4 linked regions of the Coturnix japonica genome follow. The protein of the gene in region 1 interacts with the protein of each later gene in a pairwise test. Links are inferred from orthologs where the notes say so. Each region holds a gene or a part of one and is shown in the gene's direction. Other genes may lie near its edges. The genes, in order: SRSF11, SRRM4, HYI and LNX2.

Region 1 (3,561 bases):
TTTTTCCAATAAGGATTAAAAGAATATTCTTTGTCAGTCTGACTTGTCCATTCTGGATAAAACTGGTGCATAAAAACTCTGCCCAGTGGTTTCAGTTCAGATTGTCTAAAGATAATGTTAATGACATCATTGTATTTTAATGGGCCTGTTTAAGTCACAGAGTTCCTTATGGGCTGTTTCTTATGGTATTACAGTGATTCAGAGTGTGAACAGTTCTGTCATAATGATGTGGCCTATCCCCAGCCACGTGTTCAGCCAATGAAGCTCTGCCCCTGGTCCCTGTATGGGAGCATCCTTACCTCTAATTTCGTGCTGCCGGGGTCCCAATTCAACAAGTTACTTAAGCACCGTACAGCGAGATTCTTAAAACCGCAGTGAATTTGTTCATGTGCTTAAAGTCAGGCAGATGCTTAATTACTGTGCTGAACTGGGCCCTCACCTCTCTTGTTTTCTGCTGTGATAATTCTGTTTTATTATTGCCTGTCGCTAAAGTGAATGTTTATTATCTGTCTAGCGCAATAATTATCCCATATATCACAAGTGCACTCCAGGTTTAGCACACACAGACACTTTGGTGTTGGCTGTTGCTTTGTGTTATAGAGCTATACACAAAGTCTACGGTAAGGTTTAGTATTCATTGTAATTTTCACTGTGATATTCCTAGATTTGGAAGGAGCTCTAAGATTAAAGGTGGCTGGGGGGGTATTTAGGTTCTTTGGTTAATGTTTGTTTCTTTTGTCTGTTTCTTTTTCTTTCATTTCTACATATTCATACAGTATTTCATGGTTCTAACAAAGCAGCAGTAAAAAAAGCTCTTGAAGCATGAAAATTAACTGGTGAGGGGCCTCATTGCTTTTTTCACTTGTAGTTTATTTATTTCTAAATACCTTTTAAAGAAACGAGTAGAGCATCAGATGCATGATTTTTTTTAATGAATGCAGATCTCCTGTGAGGTGTCTGGAGATGAGTGAGGGTTTGCGTTTAGCTGCCGGAAATGTCGTAGCTGCACTAATTTGAAATGTTTAGCTGTAATTGATAAATATCCTCTCAGACATAATTTTGCATGCAAAATTACCCCGTAATCTCTCTGTAGGTATGTTAATATATTTATGCGTTAATGCCCTTTATCTAAATGACCTTTTTCCCCTCCTCTCCCTCCATAACTTTTGGTATCTAAATTGATGGCAGCTCAATGACACGAGCGAGATAACAGTGCTGTGTGTTGTACATTTGTTTATATTATCGGCACTTCTCAGTATAGGTGGAAGGAACCATTACCTTTATTTAACAGTGGTTTTTCTTTTTTGTTGTTGTGTTTTACAGTTCTTTTCCCTGGTTCAGCCTGAACTATATACCAGGCCCTGCTGAAAATACCACCCAACAGTTTTCTTCTGCAGCTTATCCAGTTTCTCTTAAGTGCCCTGTACATATTGTATGTTTTATGATGAGATGCAGTTTCTTAATACGTATTGCAGAAACGCTACTGGTATTTGCAAATATTTAGTAAAATTGTTTTATTGAACTCTCATTTTGGGGGCTTGGGCACATTAACAAATTAATCCATCTGTATAGGGCTTTTGCTGTTGGATAGAAGTAAAAAACACCTACACAAGTACTTGTTTTGCGCTAGGACCCTTCAAATTATCTGTGCAGAGCAGGCAGTAAATAAGACGCTTGTCTTAGTTGGCTGCAAGATTTGGGGCCAGAAGTTTCTTCCGTAGCAGCATTCTTGGTACATAAGCATGGCACATATCGGAACATAAGCATTTTACTGCACAGGTAAGGAATGTGCCACGACGTACTGTACGTATGCAGACACACACAGCTTGTATTGGAAGACCTGCAGAGTCTGTCGTTTTTATCTGACAAGTCAGCAAAAGCCCTACGCTTGATTCAGCAAAAAAATATTTCCGTACCTTCTCTTTAAGTTTTACAAATTTGCTATGGTAGGTGTAAAAGAAAACATAGTGAACTGTACCGTATTATTAACCCCTAAATCAAACTTTTTTTGTCTTGTGTATCTTGATTTTTCTGTGTGCTTTGTAGTGAAGCAGCCGACACGAGTCGTTGTTCATAAAACAGCTTTTGAAAGTTGAGAGCACACCCCTGGAGAACCGACTGTGCTTGCTTACGTTTGGTTCATGACTTAAAAATCGAGTACAGGTGATGAAATCTTGGCAGTGTTAACAAAACAGTAGTGTGTATTGTGCTATTTTTTTTTGCTCTAGATACTTAACCATTTGTAGAGAAAAAGGAACAGTCAAATTTTCACGCATTGAAGTTTCATTCTGACAAAAAAAAAATTAATGATAAATATTAATAGCCATCAAGCTTTGTATTTTAGCAAACATAAGTACTTTCAACAAACTCAGGTGGTGTATCAGGGAGACATTTTCTTGGGTGTATTTGTGTATTTTCTGCTTTAGAAAAAGAATGCGTTCTAATGCCAGGCTATTTCTCTGCAGGAGTCATTCCTGATGAGACTAAGGCTTTGTCTCTCTTGGCACCAGCCAATGCTGTGGCAGGTCTGCTGCCTGGAGGTGGACTCCTGCCTACTCCCAACCCACTTTCTCAGGTAGGTTTTCTGCTTGGGCTGGATGAAGGGAACCCAATGCTGGGTGCTCAGTTGCTTCCTGCTTGGTCGGTCGGTTGGTTTCCAGAGGAACCTGCTGGCATGCTGATGTTGAGGCAGGGAGTGTTGTACTTTGGATACCTCCATGGATAGTATTGTTGCAGCCCTCTGATACAGTTTTTGTTGGAAGGATGGTGAGTTGTTAGGAGGAGTACTTCTGCTGTGCCACTTACGGCCTTTCCCCTCAGATCCCTTTTCTCTCCATTGAATGCTTACCAACAGATCTGACAAGGAGGAGGGATCTTACAGACAGAGTCTAAATTCCTGAATGCCAAGAAATTGATGAGCTGTGGAGAAATAACTTCAGTAATATTACAGCTGAGGGGGGGGAAAAGTTACAGCGTGTATTTGCTCTTTAAACACACAGAAAATCATGTGGAAAATGAATGGCAAAAAAAGTGTGTTACAGAAAAATATAAGTTCAAAACACATCTTATTAGAGCTCAGAATCAAAGTGCAGGAGGCAAATCAGTAAGAGTCTGGCTTCATTAGCTCTGCATATCTCAGATCTATCTCAGATCTGCTTCTTCAGCTTCTGCTTAGCACTCCTGCATGTAACTCGTGTTATTCCTATATGAAAGATGTATTGAGCTGTTCAGAAGCTGTAGAGCTGAGCCTTGAAACCTGGGGGAAGTTACAGAAGGTGAGGTCACTGGCTTAGAAACTTGGAGTGAGTTTTCCTGGTAACTCCTGGCAGAGTCTCATTTTAGAATGCTTACAGAACGCTTGGAGACTCTGAACAGTTTTTGTCAGTTGAATGTTGCTTTGGCTCATTGCTGTCTTTGTTACAGATTGGTGCTGTTCCTTTAGCTGCTCTCGGAGCTCCTGCTCTCGATCCTGCCCTTGCTGCTCTTGGGCTTCCTGGAGCAAACTTAAACTCTCAGGTGTGTCACAGCGTTCTGTGTTGTCCCACACGTGTTGATGGGTAA
Region 2 (4,207 bases), on another chromosome or scaffold:
GATGAAAACATCCCCAAATGGTATTTGTTGCTTCTGACTGCAGACATCAAGGATCCTTTGCTGACGGTGCAAAAGGGGAAAATATGATCTCTGGTTTGATCAGGCTTGTTTCACTCCTACAGCTCCGCGGGCTTCATCCTGACTAGAAATGAAGTGCTGTCAGATGCTTCATCTGCTTCACCTTTTCCTCTATGCAGGTTTTTCACTCGGGGGAGGAGAGGCTTTTAATTATAAAGGAGCCGAAGTGTTTGCAGTCCCTCCATGCACTGATGGAGGCAACAGGGGCAAAGCTGATCTGCAACTTGAACTGTGGCACGGTTTAAAGCAATACCTCCACACTAATGACCCAGAGCTCGTCCCATGGCCAGGGGGAATCGGGCAGGTCTGTGTCTGGGAGCAGGCAGAGCCATTCCCCCTTTCTTCACCCATTCTGGTGCCTGACATAGAGCCATCAAACCAAAGGCACGGGATGGTTTGTGAAGGTATTTGTTTGAAGCTGAGTGGACGGGAATCAGGTTTTGGAGCCATGAGAGGAAGAGCTTTTAGCTGTCTTCTTTCTTCCAAAATAGCAAACACATCACCACGCACCATGGGATGTCAGGGCGAATCTGTTTCACTGACAACAAGATTGTTCTGTCTAGACTGGGAAGCACTGTTTAACTGACTGAGTCTGCACAATAATTTAAAGACAAAATACTTCACAGGCATTAAGTTTCAACTAAAAAAACCAACCAGCTTGACACAGATGATGCCTGATGGATAGATTGCGTGGGGGTGGGATGGAGCCTGGCTTTGTGATGGTAACAACTGATAGATGTCTTCCAGCTGCAGCAGTCAGGGATGGGAGGTGTGAGCCTGTGGCCCATCTGGGTGGACCCAATGCAGGTCTTGTGTGCGATCCTTGGGTCTGCCCTGAGTTTTGTTTTGCAGGGTGCTCAGCCCAGCCCTGCCTGCCTCTTGATGCCTCACTACAGCGTGCTGCTGGCTCCGGTGCTGCCACTAAGGGATGCAGAAGGGGTTGTGTGGAGGGGATATGAGCCTTGCATTTGCCATCTGTGTGGAGAGGCTGGCAGCCAGGGCTGAGACACAGATACGTGGTGGTGAGATGGCAGCCCAGCTGGCAGGAGGGACTTACTTTCTTCTGGCAGAAAAAAAAAAAAAAGATGAAATATTAATAGCGTGGCTCAAAGGCTGGACTAGATTTTTTTTGTTTTCACTCCTTTTGAGGGGGGTTTTTGCTCAGCGCTGCATTGATGTTACTTAGAGAAGCAGCATCCGCTTGGAGCAGGAGGGATGCCAGCAACCCGGAGGGAGCCCAGCAAGCAGGCTGGAAGGGGAGGCACGACCCTGGGATGGGCTGTGTTCTGAGCTCAGGGCTTGGCTGAGCACTTCAGATGAATCACAGCCCTGAGATGTGTGCTGCAGCCTCATTTGGCTCCGGTTCAATGGCATGAGAATAAAAGATTTTCTTGTCTCTGTCTTTTCAGGTCAGGACTGTGCCCCTCTGCCTGCACAATGCCTTCATGTTGACCACCCTGCTTGGCTGAAGGAGATGCAAAGTGGGAGAAGCAGAGGGTTCAGGCATGATGTCTGTCTGTCTGTCAGCTCCCTTCAGAAAGGCCCTGCTGGCTCCTGATTTGCCTGGTGAGTCAAAGCATCTCCAGGAGCTTCTGATGGTTTTTTAAGGTGGAGATTGTGTGAAGGTTTTCTCTCAGGGGCAAGCTCTTCTGTTTGCTTCTGCTGATGAATGTGGGGAAGGTTGTCAAGAGGGAGCCTTGCTGTAAGGCAACATGGCACTTACCTTAAAGCAGAGGTGTGCCATGTCCTAAACTCCTTAAAATTTGAGTCCTATTACATATACATACATTTGTGTGTGTGTATATATAGATCTCTCCTATGCAATCACCTGACTTCTTTCTGAGCCTTAGTGCAGCACTTTGGTCACTGGGTAGGCGGCAGAACCAGCATCCCAAATGGGTGCATTGGCAGGGAAGCAGAGGAGAGATCGCAGTGAGGAGGATTCAGGCTCGGTGCGTTTGCCAAGTGAGCTGGAAGGAACCAAGTTTGGGGTGTGTAAATCTCTTCCTTCTGTTTCTTTAACATCTCTGTTCTGCTCTCGCTCTGCTAGCTGGTCTGTGCCAGATTCAGAGGTCCTGAGGAGAAGAGAAGACACGAGTTCAGCATGGTTGGAAACAGATTGAAGCGCTCCTAACTTAAATACTTTGCAAATGCTGGCTGTGAATGCTGCTTATTTCCTCATCAAGTGTGTGCAGAAATGAAGCATGTCATGGCAGATGGCTACTTGCTCAGGTTCAAGTAGTGGGTGAGCAGTGAAATAGGGTTTGACCTAGACTCTAGCTTCAGCATGGCCTTAATTCTTGGCTTGTGCCTCATCTGGCAGCATGGGGTAAGGGCAGACAGCAGGAGGGGGCCCCGATGCTCCCCTTGTACAGCCTTGCCTTCTGTGTTCCCCTGCCTGCCGCCCTGCTGCTGTTGCCTTTTGATAGACAGTGTGATTAATTACACTGCTCACGGCCTCTGAAAATTTATTTAGAGTTTTATGCTGGCTGCTGCTTACACAATGGCAAATCTGCCGTGGCTGTGTCCCAAGCAGGTGGCAGCAAATAGGTCAATAAACTGAATCACCCCATTAGAGCTGTCAAGCCGGGCTGCTGTGATGCAGGCAGGTAGAGGGCAGAGCTGCCATGGTGAGGAGAAGCCAGGACAGATCTGTTTTAGAAGAAATGTGTCTGGCTATGCTGGTCTGTAGGAAATCCGTCGCTTCCCTGATAGCATCCGCTGCTTTAATAGATCAATTTTTCCACTGCAGCTTGTCTGTCTTAAACTTTCCTCTCCCTGCCTCCACTGCTATCCTAAAAAGTGGTCTAATAGGACCTTTTAATCTGTGAGAGCTTTGGAAATCTTTTTAAAGAGATTTTTATCACCTTTTCCTTGGGGTGTATGAAGAAGAGAGGCTGGTGGTAAGTGAGTAAGTAAGTAAGTCTCCTGCCTAGTGGAGAATGGCATGAGGGAAGGGGAGCGTGAGCTGTGTCTTTGCGTGACAATGCCAGCAGGAAGGGATAAACACGGATTGCTTCACACCACTCTGTGGATGTGGGGCTGTGCACTGCCCTTCCCTGCAGCATGGCACTGCAGTCGGTGACTTGCTCTAAGCCTGTCCTGGGGTGCTGGTGGGCTGTCAGTGGGATGCTGAGCCTTTGCAGCCAGCAGTATCACCTAGTGGTGCTAAAGCTGCTCTATCTATTGAGATATGAGCTGGGATGTCTGTGCTGCCCTCTCATGTGGTGCTTCCTGCGTCCAATCTGGGAAGGGAGTTCAGGTGTCCTGGCTCCTCCTGTTTGCTCTATTACTGCCCTGCTGTTTAGGTTTCAAATAATATATTCAATATATTTCAATATAACTGTCTCACATGCAGAGACAGTTGGTATAAACTGAAGCACGCTGCATTTGTTCTGCAGAATGTTGTAGGTAGCTTATACTGACTGTCACCTTTCAGTTCAGCCTAAGGAAACATCACCGGTGCCATTATCTCTGCTGCCAGTCCTGCCTGGTAAACCTGCTCCTTCCAGGATGGCTGAGCCACATCCCTTAGCACCTGTGCAGTGCTTGCACTCAGCAGCCACATTCCAGGTTCTCAATATGAGACATTCAGAACTCCCATGGCTGCTTAAAAGCCATGGAATGAAGAGATGCCATGCAAGCAGTGTTGGAGCATGTATTATTTTCAGTGCTTTGGGGGTATGGGGTTCGAGTTGTCCTCTTTTTGGAGGAGTAGTAATTTTAATTGGGTGCTGTTGATTTGGTCTGTTCCCTGCCCTGGGGCTGGACACCAAGCAATGCAAACATCAGCACTGAAACAGCAACTTGACAGGTCAGGATGTGACTGAATGGCGAGGCTGCATTTCTGATCTGTGTCCCCTTAGGGGAGATCTTCTGGAATCTGGTGCCTTTCGTGAGAGATGGGAGCTGCCTCCCTTCCCCCATTAATGCTGGGCAGCAGCCTGTGGCCGTGGTGCTTTGCTTTGGCACGTGGGCGCTTTGCTTCAAATCCTCATCAGGAGCAGCACAGAGCTGGCTGCTGCGGGAGCTGGGAGCTCAGATCAGGCCAGCTGGCTGTGTGCTGCCTCTGTCACGCAGTGTTTCTCCTTCCTCCTGCCAAATTCCTAGCACCAGTTTTTCCCCTCCA
Region 3 (3,996 bases), about 8.7 Mb from region 1:
GAAGCAGGGCTGGGACTCAAGCACACTCTTGTTAATGCAGAAATCCCTGCCCTGGCTTTGGGGAGAGGACAGTGTATTTCCCAGTGCGGTGCCCAGCAGTGGTGCTACCACGGGGTCAAAGCACAGACTGGGAAGTAAGGTGACTCCCCAGGCCCCCTCATATGCCATGGGTCATTAATCTGGCTGAACAAGAGCAAGTTTCCCAGGTCCCAGCAGGAACCGCCCTGCATTTCTAGCAGGGAACTGGCTGCCGAGTTGCTGTGCTGTCCCAGCCCTGCCATCACAGCTCATGGATGAGTCTGCTCCAGAATTTCAGCCAGCCTATAGTGAGCAAGGGCTGATTCTTGAGGCTGTAAAACACACACACGGCTGTGTCTGCAGGGCAGGATGGTGCACCATACAGCACAGCCATCCCATGGCACTGCACTGCCCTGGCCAGCCAAGCAGCAGTGAGTAAATCCGCTGTGCCCTGTCAAGGTAAAGTGACAAAACACCGGGCTGCAATGCAGGAACTGCAGTTATAACAAGGGAAAATCAATGAAATACATTACCACAGATAGAAAGGACTCATTAATTTGTAGAGCCCAACAGATGCGCTCGCTGCTCACAGGGCAGGTTTGCTGTGAGCTCCCAAACACCCACCTCTGCTGCTCACATCACCAGCTCTCGGGCTCCAGATGTGGCTGTAGGACATGGAGCTCCTTCAGCCCCACGGAGCACAGACTGTGCTTGCACTGTGTGCACACACAGGGGATGCTCTCCAGGGACACACGTGGCAGCCCCGCACCTCAGCACAGCTGTCCATCACGGGGGACAGTTCTGCTTATTGCCGAGAAGTTGAGTTGAGCTTCTTCTAATTGATTAATCAATAGCCTTAATTGAGTTGAGACTCCATAACTAATCGTTTGGCTGCTGCTTTCCCCTTGGCCCGCACTGCCCCGACCCCAACACCTGCTGTGGGGCCACACCGGGAGGGTGTAAAGTAGTAAAGCACATAGTAAAGCACATAGCAAAGCACAGCAATCAGTGCTTGCTCGGGATGTCCCGAGTGCGGCTGCTCTGCTGTCTCTGTACCGAGGCGGGGATGCTGCTGCAGCCACGTTGCGTGCTGCTGGTGCACGGCACAACCACACAACTGCTCTGTGCCAGGACAAGGCCCACATGGGTCCCGGTTTTGCTCTGCAGACCCACGAGGAGCCTGAACTCAAAGCCGCGTTACGAGATGGCGGCGGGGCGATCCAGCATCGACAGCAAGCGATACCACGCCTCCTCCCACCATATTGGGTCTGGCTTAGCACAGCCCCTCCTACCTGCCCGTCATGGCGCTGCGCTTCTCGGCCAACCTGTCGTGGCTGTTCCCGGAGCTGCCGGCTCTACCGGCCCGGCTGGAGGCGGCGGCTCGTGCCGGGTTCGATGCGGTGGAGTCGGCCTGGCCCGAGGGCTGCCCGGCCACAGCGCTGCACGGCGCCGCAGAGCGGGCTGGGCTGCGGGTCGTGCTGCTCAACACCCCGCCCGGGGACACGGAGCGGGGCGAGATGGGGCTGTGCGCCGTGCCCGGGCGGCAGGACGCCTTCCGGCAGGGTCTGGCCGAGGCCGTGCGGTACGGCCGGGCCGTGGGCTGCCACAGGTACGTGCGAGACGGAGCTCGGAGCCGGGGGTTCGGCCGAGCTGCCCCCGCAGCGGCACCGTGCCTCGCTCCGTGCCTCGCTCCGTGCCTCGCCTCGCCCTTTGCCCCTCGTGCCGGGCTGCCGCGTGCTCCCCCCGCAGCCTGCCTGCTCCACACCTGAACCTGCCGTTATCCCCGTGTCACCGCAGCTGTTGCTTTGTTGAGGGCCACGTGCTGTAGGTGCGTTGTAAGAGACGAAATAGTGACACAACCCGCTCCAGAAAAACACTGTTGCCTTTTTGTCCCGTTCACTGTGAATCATTCCTTCCCTCGTTCCTTCCCTCAGTACAGCCCAAGATCCCGCACCCAGACCTGCACCTGCCTGAGTCTGCTTGTTTTCTGCATTAACAGCAATGCTGAAAGCTGCTTGATTTTCAGTGCTTCTTCACCCAACAGTTGCCTGAGGCTCCCGTCCTGACATGGCCCAGGCCTGGCGCTGTCTCTATACCTGCAGAGCAGTTGTGTCAGCCCCCACCCATGGCCTGGAAACAAGAGCTGAGCTCTGTGTGCCCACAGGATCCACCTGATGGCCGGGCGGGTGCCGCGGGGTGTGGAGCGGGAGGCAGTGGCTGGTGAGATGGAGGCCACGTTCATTGAGAACCTCAGGCATGCGGCTGATGTCCTAGCTCAGGTAATAAGGGGGGGGTGGGCTCTAAAGGATGGAGAACTGCCACTGCTGGCACGTGAGGCCATGCAGCAGAGGCCATGCATTGCTGTGTGACAGGAGGACATGCTGGGGCTGGTGGAGCCGATTAACAGCCGTATCACTGACCCGCGCTACTTTCTGAACACCCCACACCAAGGTACGGCACACAGCTCTCCCAGAGGAGCCTGCATGGAGGAAACAGCGGCCCCAGGCTGTCTGACTGAGCATGGAGGCAGGAGGTGGGCACTTCTGAAACCCTGAAAACTTCAGCTTGGCATTAACCAACTCTCATTTCTTGCACCCTCAGCTGCTGCCATCCTGGAGAAGGTGGGACGACCCAACCTGAAGCTGCAGCTGGTGAGTGCAGCCCTGAGCACATGAGGCAGTTGGAGATGCAAGGCAGGGCTCAGGGCCAGACAGCCCTGCTCCACCGAACAGCTACAACAACTCTTGAATGTTCTCTTACTTAGGACTTCTTTCACTGTCAGATCATGGATGGGAATCTGTCACGTAACCTGGAGACGTACCTCCCACTCATTGGTAATGCACTGCATCTGACCTGGCTTCTTTGAGTCTTGTGACTTGAGGATGGGGATGAGGGATGCTCTCAGGTCACCCCATCCTGTGCTGACAGACAGCTGTAGGCAGGGCTGCCTGGGGCACAACCTCCCATCTCCCCCAGGTCATATCCAGATCGCACAGGTGCCAGGGCGACACGAGCCCGACAGCCCTGGGGAGCTGAACTTCCCCTATATCTTCAAGCTGCTGGAGTCCCTCGGCTACACTGGCTACGTGGGCTGTGAGTACGCACCAAAAGGTGAGTGGGGCTGTGTGCTCTGACCCCCCCAGCAGGTCCCAGCATTGACCAGTCCTCCGGGACTGTGTGAAGATAGGCCTGACTGGGGGTGGTAGGCAGCCAGGTCCGTACCTGGAAATGAGAGCAGAAGCTGCTGCAGCTTGGCTAGCACAATCCTTCACCTGCCATGCAGGAGACACGGTAGAAGGTCTTGGCTGGCTGCGTTCATACTGGGAGAGCAGAGGCATGAAACCTGGCGGGCCCAGAAAAGCAACAGAATAAAGTAAGAAAAGCACTGGAATAAATGTCAAACCAATGAGCCTAAAACAAGAGTGTCTGTTTTTAGTTTGGGGATGCTGGGGCAGCCCCAGAGATGACAGGGTGACATCAAGGACAGAGAAGCATCTTCACCTCCAGGCTGCAGGTCTAGGATAAGGCTTTCAGTCCTCAGTGCTGAGGAATCATTCATCCCTTGGGAAGGTAGTGAGTCTTCCAAAGTCCAGCTGGTGCCTGGAGCTGCAGGTTCTGAACTTCTCCACTCTGCCTGTTTTATTCTGTGCAGTTCCCAAAGCTGCTGGCAAATGCAATCTCCCAGGCTGCTAAGCAGGACCACACTGCTGATCCTGCTCTGAGCAAGGAGACTCACTGCAAATCTAGTCTGCTCTGCTCCAGGGAGAGCCCTGCAATGGGGCAGTGGTGCCTCTGCTGCCCTGAAGAGGCTTTCCCCATCTTGACCTGTGCCACACGAGTGGGGAACTGATTCTGTTTTATTTCACAAATATATCCATGGCTTTAATGTATCATCATCAATGTACACCTCCACAAAACCTTCCCTGTGTCCATTCACCCTTCCTGTCCCATTTGGCGCTCTCCTACTGAGAGCAAAGG
Region 4 (4,031 bases), on another chromosome or scaffold:
CTGTGCCAGTGCCTCACCACAATGATTGTAAAGGAACTTCTTCCTTACATCCAATCTATGTCTCCACTCTCTTGCTTTGAAACCATATCCCCCTGTCCTACTGCAACAGACTCTGTTAAAGCATCTGTCCCCTTCTTTCTTATAGACCCCCTTCACATACTGAAAGGCCATTCTCAGGTCATCCTGGAGCCTTCTCTTCTCCAGGCTGAACAGCCCCAGCTCTCTCAGCCTGTCCTTGTAGGAAGGCATTCCATCCCCTGGGTCATTCTGTGGCCCTCCTCTGGATGTGCTCCAACAGCTCCATGTCTCTCCAGTACTTCAGGTGAGACCTCACCAGCACAGAGCAGAGGGGCAGGATCACTCCCTTGGCCAGCTGGCCATGTTGCTTTGGATGCAGCACAGGTTGGCCTTCTAGATTGCCAGGGCACATTGCTGCTCATGTTTAGCCTGTGATCCAGCAGTACCCCCAGGTCCTTTTTAGCAGGCCTTCCCATCAGCACTCTCAAACACATTTCTTAAAAGTTATGAGACGGAACCATGAGATTCTCAGCCATCACTTCGCTGTAACAGTTCCATGCAGCTGCTTGCAAAAAGTTCAGCCTCTACGCGTTAACCAAATAACTTTAACCACCCATTTATACGACTTTTAAATCTCTCGCGTATAAATGACATTACAAGAGCGGTCCGCATTACGCAGAGATGCGTAGCAATGGGCTGAGGGCTCAGGGCCGAGCACAGGCCGCACAAGCCAGGCCCTACAGGCCGGGAGCCGACACAGGACCAGCCCCAAGGCCTCACTGGCCCTACAAGCGCAGCCCAGAGCGAAGGAGAACCCGCAGCACAGTACGGCCGCCCCTCACCTCTCCAACTCCAGATCCTCCTCCATGGCAGACTACAGCCCGGCTCCTCACGCTGACACAGACGCCATAGCCGCTCTCAGCCCAGCTCCTCGAGGCGGAGCGAGCAGGCGCAGCTCCGGATCCGGCGGGGAGGGGGCGGTGCCGGGCGGGGCGGGGATGGAGCCCTGGCGGCAGCGCTGCCCACCCCGCCCCGCCCCGCCCCGCCCCGCCCCGGGTTGCGCTCCGTAGGGCGGAGGGTCCCTCCCGGCCCGGGGCTGCGGTGCGTCCCGCCTCGGCCGCTCCGCCATAGGCTGAGCCGGCCCCGCGCCCGGCCCCGCGCCCCGGGGCTGCCGCCGGAGTGGCGGAGCGCGGCGTCACTTACGCTGCCCCGGGGGAGGCGGGGAGCGGGGCCGGGCGGTGGGGAGGGAGGCGCCGCGCCGAGTGGCCGCCCGGAGTTCGGCTGCCGCCGTGAGGAGCCGGGTGCCGCCGTGGTAAGTCCGTGCCCCGCAACGCGCTCGGTCCCCTGGGGGCGGCCCGGCCCCTCGTTGCGCTCCGCGGGGCGGGGGCCTCCCCCGGGACAGGGCCGGGCCTGCGGCGGGGCCTGCGGGGCCGCAACAAGTGCGGGAGGGGGAGAGCAGCGCCGGGCCGCTTCGGGGAGTTGTGCTGGAGCCGTGACTCCGGAGTCGCGTTACCGCTGCCTGGGGAGGGCGGAGGGCAGGGAGAGTTGTGGGCAGCGCCGGAGCGCACACATCGATGCCAGGCTGCTCTTTTCTCTCCCCTCTCGTTTAAACCGAAGGTGCGGTTGGAAAACTTGCAGTGCGGCGCCTTGTGAACTTTCCCGAGGCGTGCCGTGTTACTGCTCCTCGCTGTGTGTTGGTGCTCAGCCGAGCGGGTAGGGAGTGCTATGGCACTGACAGGCTGCTCGGCCCCATGGGGCTCCTGTGACCACGCTCCCGGTGCGGGGCGTTGGTTGTTTCCTGCTGTAGGAATCCACCATTAAGTACGCCCGAGCTTCGTTTAATTCCTATTTTAATTACGTGATCTCGTTGCTCTCTGTGTGCGACGGGAAAATGACACGGATCGGCTTTGGGTCGTGTTTGATGCTCTCTGGAAATGCACTCCTGCTCGTAAACGCATCAGAGCTTTTGCTCAGCAGAGACCCAGATCCGAGCTGGGCCCCCGTTAAAGTAAATGAGTGATTTCTGTGTGTCTGCAAACCATTGTCTTCCTTTGGGCTCCACGAAGCTTTGCTGTAAGCTTCAATCCCACCGCAGATCAGGGAGCTTAGGGGGAGCATCAGATGGCTCCGGTTAGCGGCTGTGCACTTGGGAGCAAACACGGCGGTGCCATATGCTGCCGTGACTTCATTACCATCCCTCCAGAGACAAGGTTTGTGAGCACACCTTTGGGAACAACAAAACCGACTGGGACCTTCTTGCATTGACTTCTAAAGTGAGGAATCCCCTCTTTCCTGAAGCCAGTTCTATATGGTTGACTCCAAATGCAGGGAATTGTAAGGATTGCAGTTGTGCTCAACTAAGGTTTTGTTGGCTTTTGAAGTTCTTTATATTAAAGAAAAATATCATGCTTTTAAGTGCTTGTATTATTGAAATTCTAAAATCTTGGAATAAGTGCCTATAAAATGCACATTTTTTTCTTTAATGAGAGCTTTCTATAATGAACTTGTAACTGTCCTGGCTTCTAGTTCTGGTCTGTGACTTCAGCAAGAGATAATCCAGGGCCTTGGACTTGGGTCTACAATGGTTAAATCAACATTATTGCCTAAGGCAGGCTTACATCTTTCATTAACCAAAGCATCATTTAATATTAAGCTGCAGCTTAACAGTGGACTTTGCAAGAGAAATGCCCGCAGCTTCCTGGGTGAAAAGTTCTGCTCTCTTGAGACAGTGAGGTTCATTTAAAAATGAAGCCTATGAAAACCTATTACGCATAAATGCTGGCTTTGATACTGCTGGTTTTTGTGTACATTGGGCATTTGCTCTCACAGGAGCCTTGGTGACCTCAGTAAAACCTGGCATTGCCATGAGCCTTTACCCGCACTGCGTGGCCTCTGAGCCTCAAACTGGGGGTCTGTTTGTGCGCTTGTCTCACTGAAAGCAGTAGAGGTTTGTTGGCTTCCAGCTATAACACTGGAAAATATCCCCCCTCTTTTTAAAATCTCACTTTTTCCTGTGCTCTTAAAATGAATGGCTTGATGTAGCTGAAAGCTACTGTTAAGGAGATGTGGTAACCAGTGATATCACTTTAAAAGTGAAGTGTTTAAGCGTATGATATATATTAGATATTGGATTAATACAAATTGGTGTCATAAATCAGCCCGATGCTGCTTGCTTAAAAAGCCGTGAGATATTATGGTCTGCAATGGGTAAGAAAGCAGCACTCGTGCTGTGCTAAGATGCTCCCTGGTGTAAGAGGCGCCTGGTGACTGATCAGATGCAGCTGTGGCCTGTCTCCGGGACTGGAAAATTCTCAGTTGGTTTGGTCTGCAGAAACAACTTAACATGGCACCGTCAAGTCTTGTGGTTCTTAATTGTTTTATTAGGTCAGTGGCGTTTGCTGAGGAGCTGCAGGGCATGTTGCAGATGAAAATTCTTGTAAATATCATGAATGATGTACTTGCTACACTGTGGTATCCACAGAGCAATAAAAACCCATCAAATTGTGGTGTGTGCTTTTTTCTGTCCCCAATTCTACAGATCTGTGTACTTACATATGTTTAATTCTAAGCATCCAAGTATTTCTTTTGGAATTAGTGGGCCTGTTCTTAGGCTTAGCGCTAAGCCTGCATGTAAACGTTTTCAGGGTCAGGATTTATATTCACAAAGTTCATAGGCTAAACCTGTCATGTGTTTTCATACTGACCGCGCTCTCTTTTGCATGTAACAGTACAAGTGGCTGTTGGCTCCTGGCTTGGCAACGAGAGATGCTGCCTGCTCTGTGGGTGCAGGTTGGGCTGGACCAGGATGCTCTGATGTGCTGCCAGCAGCTGCTGTGTCCATCAGGTTGTTGTGGTGGCGCAGGCTTGCCTGGATGTCTGCCCCTTTTGATCTCTAAGCTCTATGTTTTAATCAGCCCATCCCTTAGTGGTGGTCAAGGCCAGGTTGGATGAGGCCCTGGGAGTGAGGAGTAAGCTGTTCCTTTCTTATTACTAGCTTGTAGGTAGGATCTTTC

The links.
Region 2: the proteins of SRSF11 (region 1) and SRRM4 interact in binary tests that used the Homo sapiens proteins (3 or more experiments, as listed by UniProt). The link is inferred for Coturnix japonica from reciprocal best matches to the Homo sapiens genes SRSF11 and SRRM4.
Region 3: the proteins of SRSF11 (region 1) and HYI interact in binary tests that used the Homo sapiens proteins (3 or more experiments, as listed by UniProt). The two-hybrid records come from large-scale screens. The link is inferred for Coturnix japonica from reciprocal best matches to the Homo sapiens genes SRSF11 and HYI.
Region 4: the proteins of SRSF11 (region 1) and LNX2 interact in a two-hybrid assay, tested with the Homo sapiens proteins (3 studies listed by BioGRID and IntAct). The link is inferred for Coturnix japonica from reciprocal best matches to the Homo sapiens genes SRSF11 and LNX2.

What each region holds. Positions count from the first base shown.
Region 1 is NC_029523.1:26,139,594-26,143,154, forward strand, and holds part of SRSF11 (serine/arginine-rich splicing factor 11), read left to right. Parts: exon of another isoform or gene 1-2,443; coding exon of another isoform or gene 2,444-2,465; coding exon 2,466-2,575; intron 2,576-3,423; coding exon 3,424-3,516; intron 3,517-3,561. UniProt on the Homo sapiens protein: May function in pre-mRNA splicing.
Region 2 is NC_029530.1:8,684,368-8,688,574, reverse strand, and holds the start of SRRM4 (serine/arginine repetitive matrix protein 4), read left to right. Parts: upstream 1-1,406; 5' UTR 1,407-1,644; intron 1,645-4,207. UniProt on the Homo sapiens protein: Splicing factor specifically required for neural cell differentiation.
Region 3 is NC_029523.1:17,442,911-17,446,906, reverse strand, and holds HYI (putative hydroxypyruvate isomerase), read left to right. Parts: upstream 1-1,296; 5' UTR 1,297-1,319; coding exon 1,320-1,627; intron 1,628-2,182; coding exon 2,183-2,297; intron 2,298-2,390; coding exon 2,391-2,469; intron 2,470-2,619; coding exon 2,620-2,669; intron 2,670-2,782; coding exon 2,783-2,852; intron 2,853-2,994; coding exon 2,995-3,129; intron 3,130-3,301; coding exon 3,302-3,390; 3' UTR 3,391-3,435; downstream 3,436-3,996. UniProt on the Homo sapiens protein: Catalyzes the reversible isomerization between hydroxypyruvate and 2-hydroxy-3-oxopropanoate (also termed tartronate semialdehyde).
Region 4 is NC_029516.1:157,558,915-157,562,945, forward strand, and holds the start of LNX2 (ligand of Numb protein X 2), read left to right. Parts: upstream 1-1,207; 5' UTR 1,208-1,330; intron 1,331-4,031. Other genes in the region: protein POLR1D, read right to left, coding at 861-886.